2 linked regions of the Notamacropus eugenii genome follow. The protein of the gene in region 1 interacts with the protein of each later gene in a pairwise test. Links are inferred from orthologs where the notes say so. Each region holds a gene or a part of one and is shown on either strand. Other genes may lie near its edges.

Region 1 (10,213 bases):
GTGTATGATGATGTGGATGAAGAAGATAGTTTGTGCTAGAATCCACTGATGCTAATTTAGACGGAGTGGGGGGGAGGTCTCAGTCTAGACACAGGTGGGCATCTGCTGAACAAAAAAGCATCTTCCTCTCTCCCTCATAATTTTCCCATGGAGAGACAACCATACCTAGGGTACAAAGACAATCTCTAGGGTTTGAAAATTGTGATAGCCAATTTGGGCCATCTGGTGTTGGCATTTAGTCATTCAGTCATGTCTAACTCTTCGTGACTCCATGGACCGTTGCATGCCAATATTATCCATGGGGTTCTTTTTCTTGGCCCATAAAGTTCTCATTTTGTTTTAGCCAAATATTCCACATTCCTAGCAAACAGGTCTCTCCCTAACAGAGAACATGCTTGCTCAGACAAATGCAATGTTCCCAATTAGAATTTCTTGCCTTGCTCTCCATTGGACAGATGCAGCCTCCTGAACCTCCCACTTCATGTTCTCTTCCCTGATAGGTTCCCATGGCGTTCTTTTAGCAAAGATATTACAATGGTTTGCCATTTCCTTTTCCAGTGGATTAAGACAAATAGAAGTTATGTGACTTGCTCAGGGCCACACAGGTAGTAAATGTCTGAGGTCACATCTGAACTCAGGTCTTCCTGACTCTAGACCCAGTGCTTTATCCACTGAGTCATCTAGACACCTCCAAAAAAGATAAGGAGCTAAGCAAGCACCACCGGGATTCCAAACCAGGATCTTCTGTTTACTAGACAGGAGCTGTAACCAACTAAGCCACAGTGCCACCCAAGCCCATCTACAAGCTCAAATTTGGGAATACAGACCTATATAGATCACTTTACTTCTCTGGGCCTCAGTTTCCTCTTCTGTGTAATAAAAAAGTTTTACTAGATGGACTCTGAGGTCCCTTCTGGCTGTAGCTCTATGATCCTAAAACATGGGGTCTTAATGTGGGGTCTTTGAACTTTAAAAAATTTTGATAACTAATAAAATTACTTGTAATCTCTTGTGCTTTATTTTATGCATTTAAAAACATGATTCTGAGAAGGGGTCCATAGGTTTCACCCCAGGCTTAAACCATCATCCAGCTCAGGTGTAGGTGCAGAAAGGTCAACATATCACAGAAGGGCTAAAACCATCCAAGCAGAGCCCAAGTAAACTCATGATGGCGGAGACGTAGGTATCACCACTGATGCTCACATGTGTGGTTCGTGCTGTGAATATATGCTAATGCATATGTGTCATTTTTTGTATTCTGGTTTTCTTTTTTACTTTTTATGTTTTCTGATTTATGTACTAATGACATGCATTGTACTAATATATTACTGTTGCTAAGGATGCTTACTAACCATATAATTTTACTGTTTTACATTCACATCCTTATATACTAGGTATGTATATTCATGGGTCTTTGTAAGGTATTCTTGTAATATATCCCGCATATAATTTAGGCCTCTAGTCATAAAGTAGTTCTATCAAGTGATAATTTGCATTATGCAGTGCTTACTGCGGGTAATGTTAACATAGCTATGATCTGTAAACAGTACAGTGGAATGCTTTAAGTTGCTGTTCAAGTGTATCAGTAAAACTTTGTGGGGACTATAAAATCTTTTGCTGAGAGGTAGGAATGTAACAAATGTGTAGTTAGGAAGAGCCTTTCTTTGAACTTTTTGGTTTCGGCCCAGAACTACACATTCCACAAATGAACCGGAGAGCTCAGAAGTGTCTAGTACTAAACAGCGAGGAGATGTGGTTAAATGTCAGGGGAAATGGAGTTCTTTAAAAGACTGACTGGACCACGCAGCTGTGGGATTGCCCAGGACAGGGGAACTGGACTCATACCAAGAAACAGTCATACCAGACAACCATGATATCCACGGGGTTGGATTCAACTTGCCTGGTAGAGGGAGTCCCTATCTTCTTCCCTTGGGCTTTTGGGATGGGAGACTGTAGCCACCTGGGTTTCTGGGAAGTCAAATGACATTTCGATAAGTATTTTGAGAGAAGTAAGGTCAACATACCTGCACTGGGATTTTGTAAGAGAGCTCAAGAGTTCTCCTGGTCAGGGATTGGTTGAATTGGAAAGCCTGACGGTAACCTCCCCCACCTGTCCCTTTTTTTCTATTTATCACTGACATTGACAGGAGGAATAAATAATATTGTTCCTTTGCAAGTGGCTTCTATTAATGTTGATTCTCTGGGGTTTTTTGGGACAGCTAGGTGGCACAATGGATAGCTGGGAGTGAGGAAGACTCTTCTTCCTGAGTTCAAATCTGACTTCAAACACTTACTAGATGTGTGACCCTGGGCAAGTCACTTAACCCTGTTTGCCTCCATTTCCTCATGTAAAAAATGAGGTGGAGAAGGAAATGGCAAACCATTTCAACTTCTTTGCCAAAAAATATCCCCAAGAGTCAAACACAACCCAACAACAAATACTGTGTTTATTATCTTTCTATGTCTTGTAGTAAACATACCTAAACTATTATTTGAATCTGTTTTTCTTTTAGTTCACGTGGATTAGGGACTGAGGCAATCAAGATATGAACCATACACCTAAGATATATTTTAGAGATGTTCATGGAATCAAAGTCAAAATTGTAACATTTAGGAAATATTTTATGTGAATGATTCTTTCACATTTTTAAAAGCCTAGAGAGAGCCTAGAAGAATCTGGATCAAGGTTAGGGGGACAGAAGCTTGCCATATATAGCAACCTCAACAACTGTGGTCAGCTATTGAAAACTGTGCTTCCAACATCTCCCTTGAGGAGAGACAGGATAGAAGAGGGAAAGAAACAGGCTCTTATTAAATGGCTACAACGTGCTGGGCAATGTCCTAAGAATTTTACAAATATCTCATCTGCTCCTCACAACAACCAAGGGAAGTAGGTACTATTATTATCTGTATTTTACACTGAGGAAAATGAGACAGAAATTGAATGACTTGTCCAGGGCCACAGAACGAGTAAATTTCTGAGGCTGAATTTGAACTCAAGTCTTACTGAGTCCAGGTCCAGTGGTTTAAAAACTTTGCCACCTAAATGGACCTCTAATATTACTGTTATAGGGAGTTCCTTCTTGCTAAGAAACTTTTCCTTTCAGCATTTATTAGCATTTTTCTGTAACCATTTTAGAGAGTTGCCTTGAGGGATGGGGATAAAACTTCTCACTCTATGAGGAACCTTTCAGGCCTCTTGCTCTATGTGGAATGTCTATCATCTAATTTCCTTATTTTACTAATAAGTAGAGGCTAAAGAAGGTGACTTGTTTAAGGTCACAGAGTAAGTGGGTGAGGTGGGAATAGAACCCAGTCCTCCTGTGCTGTGGTGAGGGATGTTTCCATTCTAATTATGCTGCCCCCACCTAGGAGGGAGCACATTTGTTTGGCATCAAAGAATAAAGAAAAAGCATTGGTCTTTGATTCAGAAGACTGGGATTTGAATGCTGTGATCTTGGACAGGTCACCTAACAAATGAGATAATATTTGTAAAATGCTTAGCATATAGTAGGTTATATATATATATACATATATATGTACATATATGTATATATATATATATATATATAGCTTAATTCTTCTTGGCCTCAATTTACTATTTATAAAAAACAAGGGGGTTATATCTCTCCAGCTCCTGCTTGCTTTCCATTTATGATCTTCCTGTTGTGATTCGTGGCTTTCTGGTCCCAGGTGTGACAGATCCCTGGATGGAAGGGCTAATACGTGGCATAGGAGAATTGCTGGTCTGTGGCTTCCTCTGATTCTGTCCTAAGAGCTCCCTCAGGAGAGAGCAGGGCTCTAGTGACAGACAATGCATCTGCTGTCTATGCTGGCTCATCATAAGAATGTTGGCCATGGAAGGAGAACTATTTTTGGCCATACCAGGTCATGAATATCATCTCGCTTAGGAAGGGAGTACCCACCAGCACTGAAGGAAACATTAATTTTAAAGTAGAAGTTCAATTGAACATTTTATCTTTCACTATTTTTACATCATTCTCTGTTTCATAATGCATCTAAGTCATGTCTCCCCAAAGAGACTGCGGATTCCTTGAGGGGAAAGATAGATACTTTGATTTAATGATGGAACCTAAGATTGGTATACAGTTAACACTCAATATTATAACAATCCATATTTGTATAGCATAGTGCAGTGTACAAAGCATTTTTCTCACTACCCTATGGAGGAGATAGGGAAAAAAATATTAAGTGAATTAAAGAGGAATTTCCACATCCATAGGTCTACTTATGGTGTCTATGCAGGTAACTCATCAAAGCTAAATATTCAGCACCTCCCTCTCTTCTGAATTTCAGTCTTGCATCACCAATAGCCTCTTGGACTTCTGGAACTAGAAGTCTTGGAGATAGCTAAACTCAACATTCAAAAACAAAGCCCATAGTATTCTTTTCCTCTACCCTCAACCCCCTGATTTTTGAAAATTTCCTATTCCTGTCCCAGGTACCACTATCCTTCCTGTCTCCCAAGTTCCTAATCTCAGCACTATCATTAACTCTTTAATTTCCCTCACCCCAAACATCCAGTCGGTTGCCAGATCTTGATGTCTCTTCTTTCACGACTTTTCTCTTATCCAACTTTCTCTCTGCTCATTGAAAAATCCCCCCTATTTCAGGTCCCATCACCTCTCATTTCAGATTATTGCACAGGCCTCCTAACTGGTCTCCCTGACTTCTCTTTCCCCATTCCAGATCACACATCTGCCTATATTACACCTACTCAAAAACTCTAGTGGCTTCCTATGGTCTCTAGGATTAAATGATCCAATAAAAACTCCTCCGTGTGCCTTTCAAAGCCCTTCACAAGCTGGCCCCGACCTCTATTTCTGGCTGCATTATACATTACTGTTCCTCCTAAGCATCTTGGTCCAGTCAAACTGGCTTTATTCTAGATCCTTACACACCAAGCCCTTAATCTCCCATCTCCACGCCTTTGCCTGGAAGGTACTCCTTCCCCACTTCCTCCTCCAGAATGTCCCTTTTCCTTCTGGATGGTTAGCTTTTATCTTGTCTTTCTCCTGTACATCTGCAGACATGTATATAATGTCTCCTCGAACAGAAGCTGAGCTCCTCGGGAGGAGGGACTGTTTGATTTTGTATGGGTTTCACCAGCTCCCACAACAGTGACCAGCATGGGGCAGGTGCTGGATAAATGCTTGCGGAAGGGAACGAGCTGTTCACACGATTAACTTCACACTTGCCAGGCTCGTGGTCACCGAAGACAAAGGTCCCGGAACGTGGAGTCCACGGAGAAGCTCGGGTTCAAAGCCAGACTTTGCTCCTTCTAGTTGGGTGACCTCGGCAAAGCCCCAACTTCTGTTTCGTCGTCTTTAAAAAAAATGGGGGGGAGCGGTGGGCTAAGACTCTTCCTCTTCCTTCAAGCTCCAAAGGACAAGACCCCACGACAGAGGAGATGGATGTCGATGGAGGGAAGCGTCCTACCTGGGCAGGTGGGCCCGCGGCTGCTGAGGAGCCACGCTCCGCCCCGGGCAGGACGGGGTTAATGGAGTAAGCCCTGAACTTGGTCAGTTACAGCTTCCAGCTGGGAGGCCTTCAGGCCATAGTGTGCGCAGGCGCGAGCAGAAGGCGCAGCACTGAGCCCGCCCCACACGCGGCAGGATGTGGTTAAGCGAGAGCGCCTTCTAGTGGTCTATCGAAGCTTCTTCAGCTTTCCGGTCAGTGTGCGCAGGCGCGAGCAGAAGGAGCAGGGTTGAGCCCGCCCCATACAGGGCAGGATGTGGTTAAGCGAGAGCGCCTTCTAGTGGTCTATCGAAGCTTCTTCAGCTTTCCGGTCAGAATGTGCGCAGGCGCTGGCAGAGCGAGCTGTCTCGGGCTCGCAGGAGCTCAGCCTTACAGAACTGAGCCGGACACGACAGGGTTAAGCCGAGAAACGTGTCTGCCGTCCAGGTCAGAAGGCTCGAAGTAGACGGGTCTAGGCGTGCGCAGGCGCTCTGAGAGCGAGGGGGGCGGGGTACGGGAGGATCGCGCAGGCGCGCTACGCAGGGAGACGTGTCCCCCGGACTGGGTGGCCGGAAGTAGCCCGTACGGACTTGGATCTGGCCGGGTCTTGCAGGCGTCTGCCCGGTCCGTCAGTGCTGTCTGTCAGTTCAGCCGGCCCCCAGGATGCTGAAGAAGTTCGACAAGAAGGACGAAGAGTCCGGTGAGGGCCGGGGGGGCGGCTCCGGGACCCCGGGCCTGATGCAAGGCGGAGGGGGACCCCCTCTCCCCATGCCAGCTAACGGGCCGGGCGGGGCGGCCGGGCGGGGCCGCGGGGCCGGCGGGTGGGGGGCGTCCTCACTGCCCGAGGTCAGGGGCCCAAGCTGTTTGGGGAGCACGTCCCTCCTTGTTTAAAGGGAAGGCCTGCCGGGTGCCAGGCCCGAGTGAAAAAGCTGGGCAGACCCTGTCCGCAAAGGGCTTATCTTCTGCTGTGCAGCGTGTCACATACTTACAGGACGTGGGGGGCCGTTGACAGTGGGGGGACAACATGTCAGATAATTACAGGACATGGGGGAACGCTAACAACGCTGGGGGGGAGCAGCATGTCATAATTACAGGACGTGGGGGGCCATTGACAGTGGGGGGACATTAACAACACTGGGGGGGAGCAGCATGTCGTAATTACAGGACGTGGGGGGCCATTGACAGTGGGGGGACATTAACAACACTGGGGGGGAGCAGCATGTCGTAATTACAGGACGTGGGGGCCATTGAAATGGGGGGACATTAACAACACTGGGGGAGCAACATACAGATGTTGGGACTTGGGGGGGACATTAGCAACACTGTACATTCTTAAGGATTTATATTATCTTAGAACCAGCAGCATGTGTACATACAAGTAAATGCAAAATTCATACAAAGTAAATAAATAATCCAGGAGGTGAGGTAAGGGGATACAGTAGCACCTGCAGGGATAGGTAGATAGTGTTATTTGAACCAAGTGTTCAAGAAAGCTGGTTATTCTAAGAGTCAGAAGTGAGGAGGGAACACTTTGCAGATACAGGACAGCTTTTGCCATGACATCAAGATGGACGATGGATTATGTGTGTGCATATTAGTTTGGCTGGAATGAAAGGTGCATGAGGCATGTGATATGTAATAAGTCAGGAAAGGTAAGTTTGGAGTAAGTGTGAAGAGCTTGCAATACCAGCTGAATTTTGTTTTATCCTAAAGGTTATAGGGATTGGAGCTTTTTAAGCAGTGGATTGATCTGGTCAGGCTTTGCTTTAGTAGTGTCACTTTGGTAGCTGTGTGAGGGATGGATTGGGGAAGGGAAGGATTTGAGAGAGGAAGACCATCTAATAATCCAGGCAGAAGGTAATGAGTTCCTGAAGTAATGGTAGATGTGTGAGTGGAGAGGAGATGAATGCAAGAAATGTGGTGGAGGTAAAATTGACATTTGACCATGTTGGATGTGGCAGAGGTGAAAGAGACCTAGTTGAAGTCGCCTCAAAATTTTGAACCTGGGCAAGTAGAATAGTGGCATCCTTGATAAAAGGATAATGTGGGAGGGAGAGTACTTAAGGTACTTCAGCCAGCGTGAGGTACAGAGACTTTTACAGGATAATAGGATTGAGAGGTGGCAGAAATCTTAGAGACTATCTAGCCTAAGCCCCTTGTTTGATAAGTGGGGAAACTTGAAGCCCAGAAAAGATGAGTTTACCCCCAGGCAGCACAGTAGGTACCAGAGTCAGGACTTGAACCTAAATTAATCTCTTCCATTTATTTGTTCATTTATCCATTCATTACATCATTCTGTCTTTCATATTAGTAATTTAACAAAATGTCTACTATGTGCAAAGAGATATCAGTCAGTCACTAGCATTTTTTATGCGCCACCTGTGTGCTAGGCACGAAGATAAATGGAATAGATGCCTTCACAGAACTTATAATCTAATAGTAACCAAAAAGTATTCAGATATAATGCATGTTAAATGATTATAACTGTGTAAGGGGAATGTCAAAGTACTTTGAGATCAGATGAGACCAATCACTTTCAGCTGTCTAGCTTGAGGCAAGAAGGAGATGAAGGGGGAATTCAGGAAAGGCTTCCTGGAGGAGGTGGACTTTAAACTGGGCTTTGCAGAATAGGTAGGATGTCAGATGATGGAAGTAGGTGGAAGAAGACTTCCAAATTTAGAAAGTAATATAAATAAAAGTTCAAGAGTAGAAAAATTCAGGTCAGTTTAGGAAACAATGAACCAGTCTAATTTCACTGGAATGTGGAGTACTTGAGGGAAGGTAGAGTGAAATAAAACTGGAAAAGCAGGGAGGTCCCAGATGGTGGGAGCCTTAAATGCCAACCTGAGAAATTCAGAGACAGTGATATTGTCTAAGAAGTTAAAGTATTCATAAGATTACAGGTTTAGAGCTAAAAAAGACCGAAGGGTCATCTAGTCCAGCCCCTTTTTATTGATGAGGGAATTGGAGACCAGAAACATGCTTTTACTTGCTTGATAATTACTCAGATTGTAAGTACGTAGTAAGAATCAGAACTTGAACTCAGGTCTTCTCCACATCCAGTCCTCTCTCTATTGCATTATGCCATCTTTGTTCCTGTCCTATACTACACAGGGTGCTTACTACTCCTTGGAAGTTAGTTATCAGGAAAGATATAAACCCAGAAGACCAGAAGCCCACCAGGACCTGGGAAAGTTCTGTCTAGTATAAACTTTGGCACCATCCTAGTTAGAGAGAGACAGAGGAAGGGCAGAAGGATATCATAAACTATTCAGCTGTGGATTTGAGAAGCTTTTGATGACATACCAAGAACTCGAGGCAGAAATTGGAGCTGAAGCCTGGAATCCAGAATATACTCCTTAGCAGTAATGTTGGCTTATGTACATGAATGTAGAGAGGGAACAGAAAACCTCAGGAGGGGTCTCCTATGCTTACCCATGGATAGGGTTGCATAATTCACAGATGATCTTAAAAGATCTTCCTGGTTCCCTTACTGCTCAGGTCTCTCATGGAGCCCATCTGTGTACAGCTGAACCTCAGAGTCCTGCTCAAGCCTTTGCAAATGTTTCCCTAGCTGTTGCGTTAGGATTCAAAGACTCATCCCACTCAGGATGTGGATAAAGGTGACACCTAGGAGGATAAGAGTCACTTTTCCCCACTACATTAAGCTAATACTGTGTTAGTTATGAAGCCCTTGGCTTACAGGTTTTCTTGTCTTCTGTCTCTTGTTTTTTCTGAACTGTTTCTATTTCAACAGGCTCAATTCTATACTCTCTCTTGCAATGTTTCCACCAATCTCTGCCCATGTGGTAAAATTTGACTAGATCATTTCATCTTCTTTTGGTGCACTGAAGTTGTTTTCTTTGCATGTTCACTGGCATTGAGTAAAACTGAAGTTTTTTGCGTAGGATCATCTCTTCTTCCAGAGCTAACATTCTCAGGAGACCATTATTAAGTTTTTCTTACTTAACCAGAGGGGGATGATATAGTAAACCTTGAGGAACCCTGTGCATGTTTCTTTTCTTTCTTTTTTAATATTTTATTTTTTCCCAATAATATACATTTTTTATTTAATATTTGTTTTTAAAATTTTGAATTCCAAATTCTTTCCTTCTCCCCTCATCCCATGCTGAGACGGTAAACAATTAGATTTAGATTATACATGTGTAATCATGCAAAACATGTTTCCATACTAATCATGTTGTGAAAGAAAACACAGATCAAAAAAAAAGAGAAAGAAAAATACTACGCTTCAGTCTGTATTCAGACTCCCATCACTTCTTTCTCTGGAGGTGGATAACATTTTTCAGCATGAGTCCTTTGGAGTTGTCTTGCTCAGAAGGGCTGAGTCATTCATAGTTGATCAGAGCACAGTGCTGCTGTTACTATGTACAGCGTTCTCTGGGTTCTGCTCACTTCACATTGTATCACTTTAAGTCTTCCCATTATTTGTCTGAAATCATCCTGTTAGTTATTTCTTATAGCACAATTTTATTCCATTACAATCATATGCCACAGTTTGTTCAGCCATTTCCCAGGTGATGGGCATCTCCTCAATTTCCAATTCTTAGCACCACAAAAAGAGCTGCTGTAAATATTTTTGTACATATAAGGCTGTCTTCCTTCCTTCCTTCCTTCCTTCCTTCCTTCCTTCCTTCCTTCCTTCCTTCCTTCCTTCCTTCTTTTCTTCCTTCCTTCTCTCTCTTTATCTCTCTCTTTCTCTCTCTCTCTCTTT
Region 2 (10,722 bases), on another chromosome or scaffold:
AGAGAGACCTTAATTCCTACCAGGAGAGGAAGCAGGGGTCAGAAGCTTGGCTACTCTGCTGTCCTCAGAGAGAGAGGGTACTGGGCTAGAATTTAGATATTTAGCTAGCTAGAGATAGATTTATATTTATTATATATATTATTACACATAATATAATAATATGTAATTATATAGCATAATATTATTATACATATTTACACTTTCTTAAATATTATTAGTATAGAAGATGAGGTTTTCAGGTTCAAGCTAACTTCTGATTATTATGTCAATGTTAGGGGGCAGGAGGACTCCCAACCACTACATCTGAATCTTGACCCCTTTTCCCCCAAATACCAGTTCTATAATGAATACACATAGCAATCATCAAAGAAAACTCATTTATCTAAATTGGTAGCAAAGCAAAAATCAGAGAAAGTATACATAGGAGAGTATATACCAGGCAATAGTGAGTGAAGGAGCTTTCCCACTGGGATCAACCAAGAGAGAGTTCTAGATCTTACTGAAGGGGAAATTCCCCAAAGTCTCTAGAGTAGCAAGCTGGGGTGTATGGAGTACTCAAAGAGGACTAGCACCTCAGGTATGAAGACTTGCTCAGTCCTTTTTCAGGGATTCTCATCCAGCTTTGATGTCTTCCTGATTCACCCAACTCTCACCTGTGGCTACAAGACTTCAGCTTGCACAGCAGCCTCACCCTAGTATGAAAAGCAGATTGAGGGTAACTGAGGGGTCTCAAACTCATTGGTAAACTAGGGGGCTATCTACCCCATACATGTGAAGACATTTGGGGTAGATTCTGGGACAGAATGGGTGGATGAGAACAATTTGTTCCAATGACCATGAAGACAGTTGAAGCAGTTGCTGTGGAGCTCTTAGAGCTTGCTTAGGCATCTGAGACACCAAGGTTATCTACCACATCCAGGGCCATTGCCAGTCATGTTGACTTTTGTCCTACCACTGGCTTTTGATGATTTAGGAAAAAAATTAATCTGATGACTTTGTGCAACTGCCTCAATTAAACCCAATTCACCTGCAATTCAAGACATCACCCTGGGATGTCATCGGTCCTCTTAGAAAACAAAGGACAAAGAGCAACATTATAACAGGAAGCTGGGAATAGGGACCCAATGGAGACTGTCAGATCCTCTTGTGTCTTTCCAGATTCTTTTCCATCAGCAACTTGAAGTGGGCTTGGCCTCTTCCATATTCCCTCTCAAAGATGGAAGCCAGAAACACCCAAAAGGACTCAAAGAAGATCCAAATTAAAACTAAAGAGATCTCCCCTTACACTCTGGCCAACTCACACACATCCTTCCTCCCTCTATCTCCCCCCTCCTTTATAGAGACAGAGGACATTGATCTCCATCCATCGATGGGTTTAGGGACTGGAGTTACACATAAAATGCTGTTTGGTTTTTAAAATCCTTCACAACCTTATCTCTTCTTATCTTTCCAGTTTCTTTTACTTTAACTCCCCTCTGAGTACTCCGTGATCCAGCAGCACTGGCCTTCTTATCCCTCAAATACTACCCTCAGTTTCTCAGCTCTGTTCTTTTTTGTCTCTCCTCCGTGCCAGGAATGCCCTCTCTCTTTTGTCTCAGGTTCTTGGCTTTCCTGGCTTCCTTCAAGACAGCTCTGCAAAAGGCCTTTCACTGTCTTCCTCCCCATTCTCAACTGTTAGGACCCTCCCTCTGATATTCCCTTAAATGTTCTTTCTCCATTTCTCTGTATCTCTCTTTCTCTCTTCACTGTTCCTTTCCTTCTCTCTCCTTCTTTCTCTCTCCTCTCCTCTCCTCTCTCTCATATAGATATGTAGAAAGATATAGACATGGATACCTATGTCTATATATCTTCTTGTCTCCTCCATTCAATTGTTAGTTCTTTAAGGATAGGTATTATTGTAAAAAAATTATCTCACGTGACTCACTCATTCACTTATGTGGTTGATTTGTTGGTTGTTCTTTGTTCTCAGAAAGAACCCAAATGACACCATTATGTTGAGGTCAAGGTACAGTGAGTCTGACTGTGGCTGATCAGACCAATTTGTACACAGAAGGCTCTACCACAGGTCAGGCACTTAGTATTGCTTAATAAATGATTTTTGATTTGACAACTCAAGGAAAACATGAGCTCAGATCCTGCCCTTGACATATACAAGCTACATGATTATGGGCAGGTCATTTAACCTCTCAGTATCCTAGGCAACTCTCCAAGAATATGTTATATGAATCTGTACACTGAGTAACAACTATGATCAATCATGGGCCTGAAGACAAGATGAGGAAAAATAGAACCCTTCTGGCTGAGTGGATAGAGTAGATGAGAGAACTCATCTTCCTGAGTTCAAATCCAGCCTCAGACACTTACTAGCTCTGTGAACCTGAGCAAGTCACTTAACTCTGTTGGCCTCAGTTTCCTCCTCTGTAAAATGAGCTGGAGAAGGAAATGGAAAACCACTCTAGTATCTTTGCCAAGAAAACCCTGAATGGGGTCACAAAAAGTAGGACGTGACCGAACAATAAAAACAACCACCCTTCTTTTGTAACAGAGGTGGAAAACTATGGGTATGGAATGTTGTACATGTAGTCACACTGGATTATGGTGTTGTTTGACCTTGCTTAACTTTTTGGTTGTTGTTAGAAGCAAAGGCTCTCAGGGGTTAAGGGGTAAAGTAAGAGTACAGCTGAAAATGATTATAATATAAACAAAAACATACATACATATATATGTATTTATGCATGTGTGTGTGTATATACAAAAGAATCCAAGGTACAAATGAATTGTAGATATTCCCTAATGCCAGCATTATATACTGGGATTCCTTAATAATTAAATTATAGATCCAGACCAAAAGAAAAAATTCATACCAATATAAATCTCCATTATTTCAGAGAGTTGAGGTGTCTCTATTTTTGGTTTAAGGGGGCCACTGTTCCCCTCTACTGCTATACAATACAAACAATTGAGCTGACTAAGAGGGCTGGACTAAACTTGAGGATCCCTTTGATTTCTATGATTCTAGGTCTAAATCTGTGATGGGAAGTGTTTACAAGGTTTTCAAAAGATTGCTCCAAAAGTTGTTCCCAATGTCTTCAACAGCAATGTATGTGTAGATCCTACATAGAATTGTATGCTGTATTGGGGAGGGAGGGGGTGGTGGGGGTTAGGTAGGGGGGGGAAAATCCAAGTTTTATAGTAGTGATTGTAGAACATTAAAAATAAAATGAACATTTATATATATGTATATATATGTTATATATATATACAAATAAAGTTGTTCCCTATTTAATTTTATCATTTCTGGGTTTTTTGATTACTAGTCTCTTCTGGATTTTGAGTAAGATATTGGTAATATGAGAAGAGACAGTTCATGTTTCTGGACTCTTGATACTAGACCAAAAATATGGGCTCTGCCCACTGCTCTCTGTAAGTCCCCGGTGGGAATCAGAAACCCAGAAGAACAAATAAGAGTGTGTGAATGAGAAAAAATGGAGGACAATTTGCTATGAGCTTTTTCTTTTCCGTTCTTAGGCTTCCCCTATCACTCAGATGACTTGATTATCATCTCCTCCTTCTCCTGTTTTATATGATAAAGTGGCCTCACTCCTTACCAAGGCCAACTCCTCTACTTGTTCAAGTGATCCCATTCCATCCTATCTCCTCCAACAGATTGCTCCCTCTGTCATCCCTACTCTTTCACTTATTTTCAATCTCTCCTTGTCTACTGGTTCCTTCCCTACTGCCTATAAACATGTTCGTGTGCCCCTCATCCTGAACAAAAAACCCCTCACTTTGTCCTTCCATCCCCTCTGTCTTCCTATATGTCTTCTCTTTGTAGCTAAATGCCTCGAGAAAGCAATCTATACTAGGTGCCTCCGCTTCCTCTCCTCTCATGGTCTTCGTAACCCTTTACAATCTGGCTTCTGACTTTATCTTTCCACTGAAACTGCTCCTCCAAAATTACTAGTGACCTCTTAGTTGCCAAATTCAGTGGTCTTCTCTCAGTCCTCCATCTCCTGTCCCCTTGACTTCTCTGCATTTGACCTCTCTTTGCCACTGTTGATCACTGTTTCCTCCTTGATACTCTCTTCTCTCTAGGTTGTCAGGATGCCACTCTCTCCCCGTTCTCCTCCTTCCTATCTGGTTGCTTCTCTTCTGTCTCCTTTGCTGGATGCTCTTACAGATCATGCCCTTTAACTGTAAGTGTCCCTCAGGGTTCTGTCCTGGGCCCTCTTCTCTTCTCCCTCTGTACTTTCTATTTCATCAGCTCCCATGGATGCAATTAACATCTCTATATTGATGGTCTTTAAATCTACCTATTCTGCCCTAAACTCTTCTGACCTCCAACTACCATTCAGACGTCTTCAACTCTGTGTGTCCAAAACAGAATTCATGATCTTTCTCCCTAAACCACACCCCACCCTTTCCCTAATACTGTCCAAGGCAATGCCATCCTCCCAGTCCATAAGACTGGCAACCTAGGAATCACTCTGGATCTCTCTCTATATATATCCAAGGTTTTGCCAAAGTCTGCCAATGTTGCCTTTGCAACGTCTCTTGAATACCTCCCCTTTTCTCCTTTGATACTTCCACCTTTCTAGTACAGGTCCTCATCACCAAACACCTGGATTATTGCAATAGCATGTGGTGGGTCTGCCTGCCTTAAGATTTTCCCCCACACCAATCCATCCTCCGTTCAGCCACTTAAAGTGACTTTACCAATCATGCTATACTGCTACTCAATAAACTCCAGCGGCTCCCTATTGCCTCTAGGAGCAAATATAAAATGTCCCATTTGGCATTCAAAGTCCTTTATAACTTATCCCCTTCCAGTCTTCTGATTTCTTAGTCTCCAATGAGTGCTCTTTGATCCAATGACACTGGCCCCCTGCCTATTTCATAAACAAGACACTCTATCTCTCAGCTCAGGGCATTTTCTCTGGCAGTTCCCCATGCCTGGATCGCTCTTCCTCCTCTGCTGGCTTCCTTTAAATTCCAACTAAAATCTCATCTTTTACTGGAAGCCTTCCCTGATCCCTCTTCATTCTAATGTCTTCATTGTGTTAATTATTTCCTATTTATCCTGTATATAGTTTGTATTATGCATATATTTGTTTGCATATGGTCTCCCCCATTAGATTGTAAGAGGACTGAACTGTCTTTTGCCTCTTTTTGTGTCCCTCAGGGCTCAGCACGATGCCCAGTACATAATAGGAGCTTAATAAATATTTATTGATTGATTGTATATATGTGTTATGCCTGCGTGCGTGCATGTGTGCATGTGTGTGCGTATGTGGTGGAGACAGGTGAAACACAGGAATGAGAAAGCTCTGAGGGGGAAGTGCAGGTAAGGGTAAAAAGGGATGAAAGTGGAAGGAGAGTTAGGCAAAGTAGAAGAGAGTAGGCCAGAGGGAAGAGAGATTGGGGAGTTTAAAGGAATTTGAAAAGGGAAGAGAAGAAGGAAAAAAAATACAGGAATGAGAAAAGAAACACAAGAAAGGGAGAAGAAAACTGAAAGTGACTTAAGAGAACAAAGGAGAGAAGAAAAGGAAAAGTGAGGAGGGAAAAGAGAAAGGAAAAGAGAGGAATAGAAGAAAGGAAGCCAACATTCATTAAGTGCCTTACATGGGCTAGACATATACTGTGCTAAATGCTTTACAAATGTCATCTCATTTGGTCCTCATGACAATCCTGGGAAGTTGGTCATGTTATTATCTTCACTTACAGTCGAGAAAACTGAAGCAGACAGCTGAACTCACTAATCTAGAGTCAAATAACTAGTTAAGCGTCTGAGATCACATTTGAACTCAGATCTTCCTGACTCCCAGTCCAGCAGAGAGAGAAGAGGGGGGGAAAAGGGAAGTGAGAAAAAAAAGGGAGAAAGGAGAAGAGAGAAAAGGGAGGAAAGAGAAAAACAGGGAATGAAAAGGAGATTGAGAGAGACAGAGAGAGCGAGCGAGAGAGAGAGCGAGAGAGAGCGAGAGAGAGAGCGAGAGAGAGCGAGAGAGAGCGAGAGAGAGCGAGAGAGAGAGAGAGAGAGAGAGAGAGAGAGAGAGAGAGAGAGAGAGAGAGAGAGAGAGAGAGAGAGAGAGAGAGAGAGAGAGAGAGAGAGAGAGAGGTGACGAGACCAGAGGACGAAGCGAGGCTCTGCCGGCCTCCCTCCTCCCTCCCAGCCCTGCATCGCGGGCAGTCCCCTCCCTCGGGGGGCTGCTCCACTCCGACCTCTCCTTTCTGCGCTCAGCGCTCTGCGCTTCGCGCTCCGCGGGCCAGGACGGGCCGGGCCAGCCCCGCGGGGGAGGGCGGCGGAGGCGGGGCCGGAGCCGGGCGGTGCTGTCAGTGCGGAGCTGAGCGGAATGCAGCGGCCCGAGGCCTGGCCACGTCCGCACCCAGGGGAGGGGGCCGCCGCGGAGGTGGCGGCGGCAGCCCGGGGTGGAACGGCGCAGGGCGCTGGGGCCACGGAGCCCCCGGGGCTGCGGGTACGCTGCGCGCTCGGGAGCGTTCGGAGCTGCGACCAACTCACAACTTCCCCAGCTTTAGGGGCGGCGGCGGCCAGGGCGCAGCTCCAGGAACTTTCGGCCACCGCCGTCGTCCGGGCTGGGGCGCGGGGGTCGGAAAGCGCTAGAAGGGCTGGGAGGGCTAGTGGTGTCCTGAGCCCTAGTAAGGAAAGGGCTCTGGGCTACGAGAGGAAAAAAAGTTATGAGCTCTTGGTCCAAACTCATGGGGAGGGTTCTGGATCTGGGCTTGGCTAGAATTCTAGATCGATTTGGGTTCGGTATTGGGGGTGCAGGGTGTGGGCACATTCGACCGTGCACATGTACTAAGAAAAATTCCGAGTGCCTCTTGCTTTCTGGAGGTTCCAGGTGGGCATGCCAACTCTAGGAAAGCGAAAGAGAAGAGTAAGGCTGCCAATTTGATAAGGGATGACGGGTGGGGGTGGGGAAAGGGGAAGCTGTCCCATCCTCCTGGCCAAGTTCGAGACCCAACCATGTGGATGTGTCGGATTCTGCATCTGATTGACATTCCCAAGCTCTCTGGGAAAGTGGATCCCAGTCCTGGATCAGATCCTGAAGCTCTGGAATCAGTAGGGAGAAGGTTCTGCTGGGGGTCAGAAAAGGACCTCCGCGAGTCTCCCCAGCCCAGGTTCTGTGATACACTCCGACTTAGACTCTGGAGCAGTCAGTGCATGACAGAACTTGGGTTTGGGTGGACCTTCTGCACGGAAAGGGGTCACCCAGCAGCAGGCCTTGGCCTCTGAGGCAGAGTAGAAGCTTCCTGGAAACTCAGCAGCCTCAGAAAAGAGGAGTCAGTGGGGATTTCAGTGTTGGGGCAGTGAGGAGACTGCAGAGCAGTCAGACACTGTGGATCTCCATGAAAGGGATCCTGTGAAGCCTGATGATTCCCTTTCTTCAGTGACTGGGATGAATAGGTCTGATGGTCACTTCCCTCCTCAGCCAGCTTACTCTTCCTTTGCTTGGGGTCAGTTGCAGGAACCATCTCTCTACACTGTCAAAGCAGTTTTCATCCTGGATAATGATGGACAACGGCTTCTGGCCAAGGTAACTCCCTATCTCTCTTTCCTATAGCCTCCCCTGCCCCAGCTCATCAGAAAGGTCTCTAGGAATATAACAACCCAGAAAACCAAAGATTAGAGTCCCCTGGACTCCAAGCCAGTGTAAAACACTAGGCCTCCTCCATGGTATCTCAGAATAGATATGAGGTCCACCCACCTGCCACTTTCAGATTTTCAGTTTGGGTTGCATGTAGTATGGTAAAGGAGCATCTCCTTGAGTAGAGCCTTATCTTTCTCCACCCTTTCCAATGGCCAGATGGATCCTAAGAAAATGAGAGGACATCATATTCAGTCTTCTAGGGATTTAGACGTAATGCCACAAAAAAAATGAAACTCAGTGGTCCCAGTTGCCCCAAATCTAGCAACTAAGCTATCTTCATTATCTTCAACTTAGCCAACAGCCGTAATATCACAGAATGTCAGAACTAGAAGTCAGTTTAGAAATTACATAGTCCATCCTGCTACATTTGACAGACAAGGGACCAAAGGCCTAGAGAGGGGAGGTAACTTGCCCAAATTCACAAAGCTAGTTAGTGGCAAAAGCAGGATTAGAACCCAGGTCTCCTGATTACTAATGTGCTTTATGTATCTTGCCATATTATTTCTGTCATGTCTTCATTATGTGTTTATTGGTGGAGGAGAATCATAGTCTAACTAGAAAAAAAATCATGTACATTGTTGTCTCAGTTAGCAGGGTACATAACCTCCAAGTTGTTCACTCTGGAGTTTGGAATGAATTTTTGAATATTTAAAAAATTATGCTTTACTTTTTGTAATATTCAAATAGATTTGTACTCCCAGGCAGACAATACTCCCAAAGCTTTCTGGGGGATGAAGTGAGGCAGCTCATCGGTCCAGTACTGTATTTGTAGAATATCCATAAGTCAGATGTGAAGTTAATTGAGACTCAGCTGTACCTAGTCCTTTGTAGCTGAGAACAAATCATAGGGTCATAGGATTGAGAGATGAAAGGGTCCAGCTGGTACAGCCCCATCATTTTAAAGAAGTGGAAACTGAAGCCCCAGAGGAGGTGAAATAACATCCATGGCACCCACCTAGTAAGTGTTAGAGACTGGATTTATACTCAGGTCCTTTGAACTGGTTTAGGATTTAAAGATCTATCCAGATGTGGTAAATACCACATTTTTCTATAGTTCCTTACTACGCAAATCCCCATGTTAAAAAATGGTGAACCTAAGGCCTAGAGAAGACATTGTAAGTTCATACAATATAGAATGGGAAATAGAGCTCAAGTCTCTTTGACTTTGATTTAAAAAAAAAATAGAACTTTAGTCTCTTTGGCCAAGGTTTCTCCTCATCCCAGACCATTAACTGAATACCCAATCCCAAGTGTTCCAAGCTTCTTGTCCTCCCAGACACATTATACTAAGCTATCAGATAGTGGTCCAAAAGCTCAGGCCAACCATTTCTTTGCCTTGAAAAAAGGCAAAGGGGAAGTTGTACAAAAGCCTGCTGGTGCCTCATTACCAGACTGGATAGCTTCCCCTCCCACAATAGCTAAAGCAGTAGCTCACAGTCACCAAATATTGGATCTGGAAAGGACCTTTGAGATCGGCTAGCCCAACCCCTCCATTTTACTGATAAGGATACTAAGTGGGGAGGTGATTTGCCCAAGGTCATGAATCTAGGAAAGTGTAGGAGGCAGGGCCCCAAACACAAGTCTGGAGGCTCTAGGTTCTAGAGCTGGAATGTTCATTCTACGTTTCTATCTGAGGCCCCAGTAATTATCACAGGCCCTGAAAACTTGGGGGAGATTTGCCTCTAGACAAATTCTCTGCAGAAGAAGTTGAGTTCCTTAAATGATTCAGGACTCTAACACACCTATTTTTTGAACCAAAACCAGCGGGGAGACAAGTGGTGAGGTGATTGTTCCCTTGATGTAGTCTAATTGGCATATTAAGGTCACCAAGCAAACGTGCTGGATTGTTAAGAGAAAACCAGATAGCTGACTGACCTCCAGCTGTTTCTAAAAGAAGACAGCAGGCTTAAAAAACAAATAGTTTCCTTTTTATAATCTTTTTGTCTGGAATTGGCAGTCAGTGGGGTGGGGCCGTGCTGAATGTGTTTGCTCTAGGCAGACCCTGGGGACCTGGGGACTTTGCTGGGAGGTGGCTCTGTGAGTCCAGCCCGCAGCTCCACATTGATTGAACATCCCGCTTCCCCTGCCCCAGCCCACCACGTGGTCATCTCTTCTCCCTTTTCTCTAGTATTATGATGATACATTCCCCTCCATAAAGGAGCAGAAAGCCTTTGAGAAAAACGTCTTCAACAAGACTAATAGAGCTGACAGTAAGTGACTGCATTTCCATTGTTGTCCCCCAATTTAACCCACTTCAGCCTCACTCCCCAGCCCGAAACTCCGCCCTCCAACCAGGCAAAATTTGGCCCTGGCTCCTCCTCACTCCTTTGCCACCTCTGAGACTGCATACAGGCCATTTCTTTTACTTGGGGTGATTGCTCCCCGACTTTGACATGTCTTTCCTTTCTTCTGCCTGTCTTCCTACATCCCTCCCACTTCCCTCTTAAGAAAAGCCTTCCCGACCCACTCAACACCCATGCTGTCTTCTTACCTTCAGACTCGAATCTGGAGGTCTGCCCTGGTACCCTAAGTGCTAGGCTTCCATTCTCCCCTCCCTACTGGCTTCCTCTAACTTGGAGGTCCATGAGGGCAGAAATTATGTTTAGCCCTTTTCTCCATAGGCCTGGTCTCCTTTCTCTGAAAACTTTAGACAGTAGATTGCCTCACTCATACTCTTCTCTCTAGGCTGTAGGCTTGTATCCCTGCCTTCATGAAAACCCCCCTGACCCAGCCTGGGAAAATATGTTTGGGCTTCAAGGAGGAAAAGAAAGGAAGTTGTGGGAAATGTGCGGTTAGTCAATTAATAAATATTTATTAAACACTTACTACAGTTATCCCTTCCACATCATGACTTTCCCCATCAAGGTTTCTTATATCACAGGTCAGCATAAGAAATTAAATGGGAATTTTTAGGGACTTTTGTGTAAGCTGCAGATAACACTTGAAGGCCGGCAGAGGACATAGAAAAGCTTAGAAACTCAGAAGTACATAGAATGTATGTATAGTACCGTATATAATACCAACCCACATTTTATAATAAGGTACTGTAAATACC

What was found.
Region 2: the proteins of COPG1 (region 1) and COPZ2 interact in a two-hybrid assay, tested with the Homo sapiens proteins (2 studies listed by BioGRID). The link is inferred for Notamacropus eugenii from reciprocal best matches to the Homo sapiens genes COPG1 and COPZ2.

The regions. Positions count from the first base shown.
Region 1 is NC_092874.1:425,496,996-425,507,208, forward strand, and holds the start of COPG1 (coatomer subunit gamma-1), read left to right. Parts: upstream 1-5,696; 5' UTR 5,697-6,141; coding exon 6,142-6,178; intron 6,179-10,213. UniProt on the Homo sapiens protein: The coatomer is a cytosolic protein complex that binds to dilysine motifs and reversibly associates with Golgi non-clathrin-coated vesicles, which further mediate biosynthetic protein transport from the ER, via the Golgi up to the trans Golgi network.
Region 2 is NC_092873.1:353,147,716-353,158,437, forward strand, and holds the start of COPZ2 (coatomer subunit zeta-2), read left to right. Parts: upstream 1-6,224; 5' UTR 6,225-6,350; coding exon 6,351-6,473; intron 6,474-7,478; coding exon 7,479-7,553; intron 7,554-9,795; coding exon 9,796-9,877; intron 9,878-10,722. UniProt on the Homo sapiens protein: The coatomer is a cytosolic protein complex that binds to dilysine motifs and reversibly associates with Golgi non-clathrin-coated vesicles, which further mediate biosynthetic protein transport from the ER, via the Golgi up to the trans Golgi network.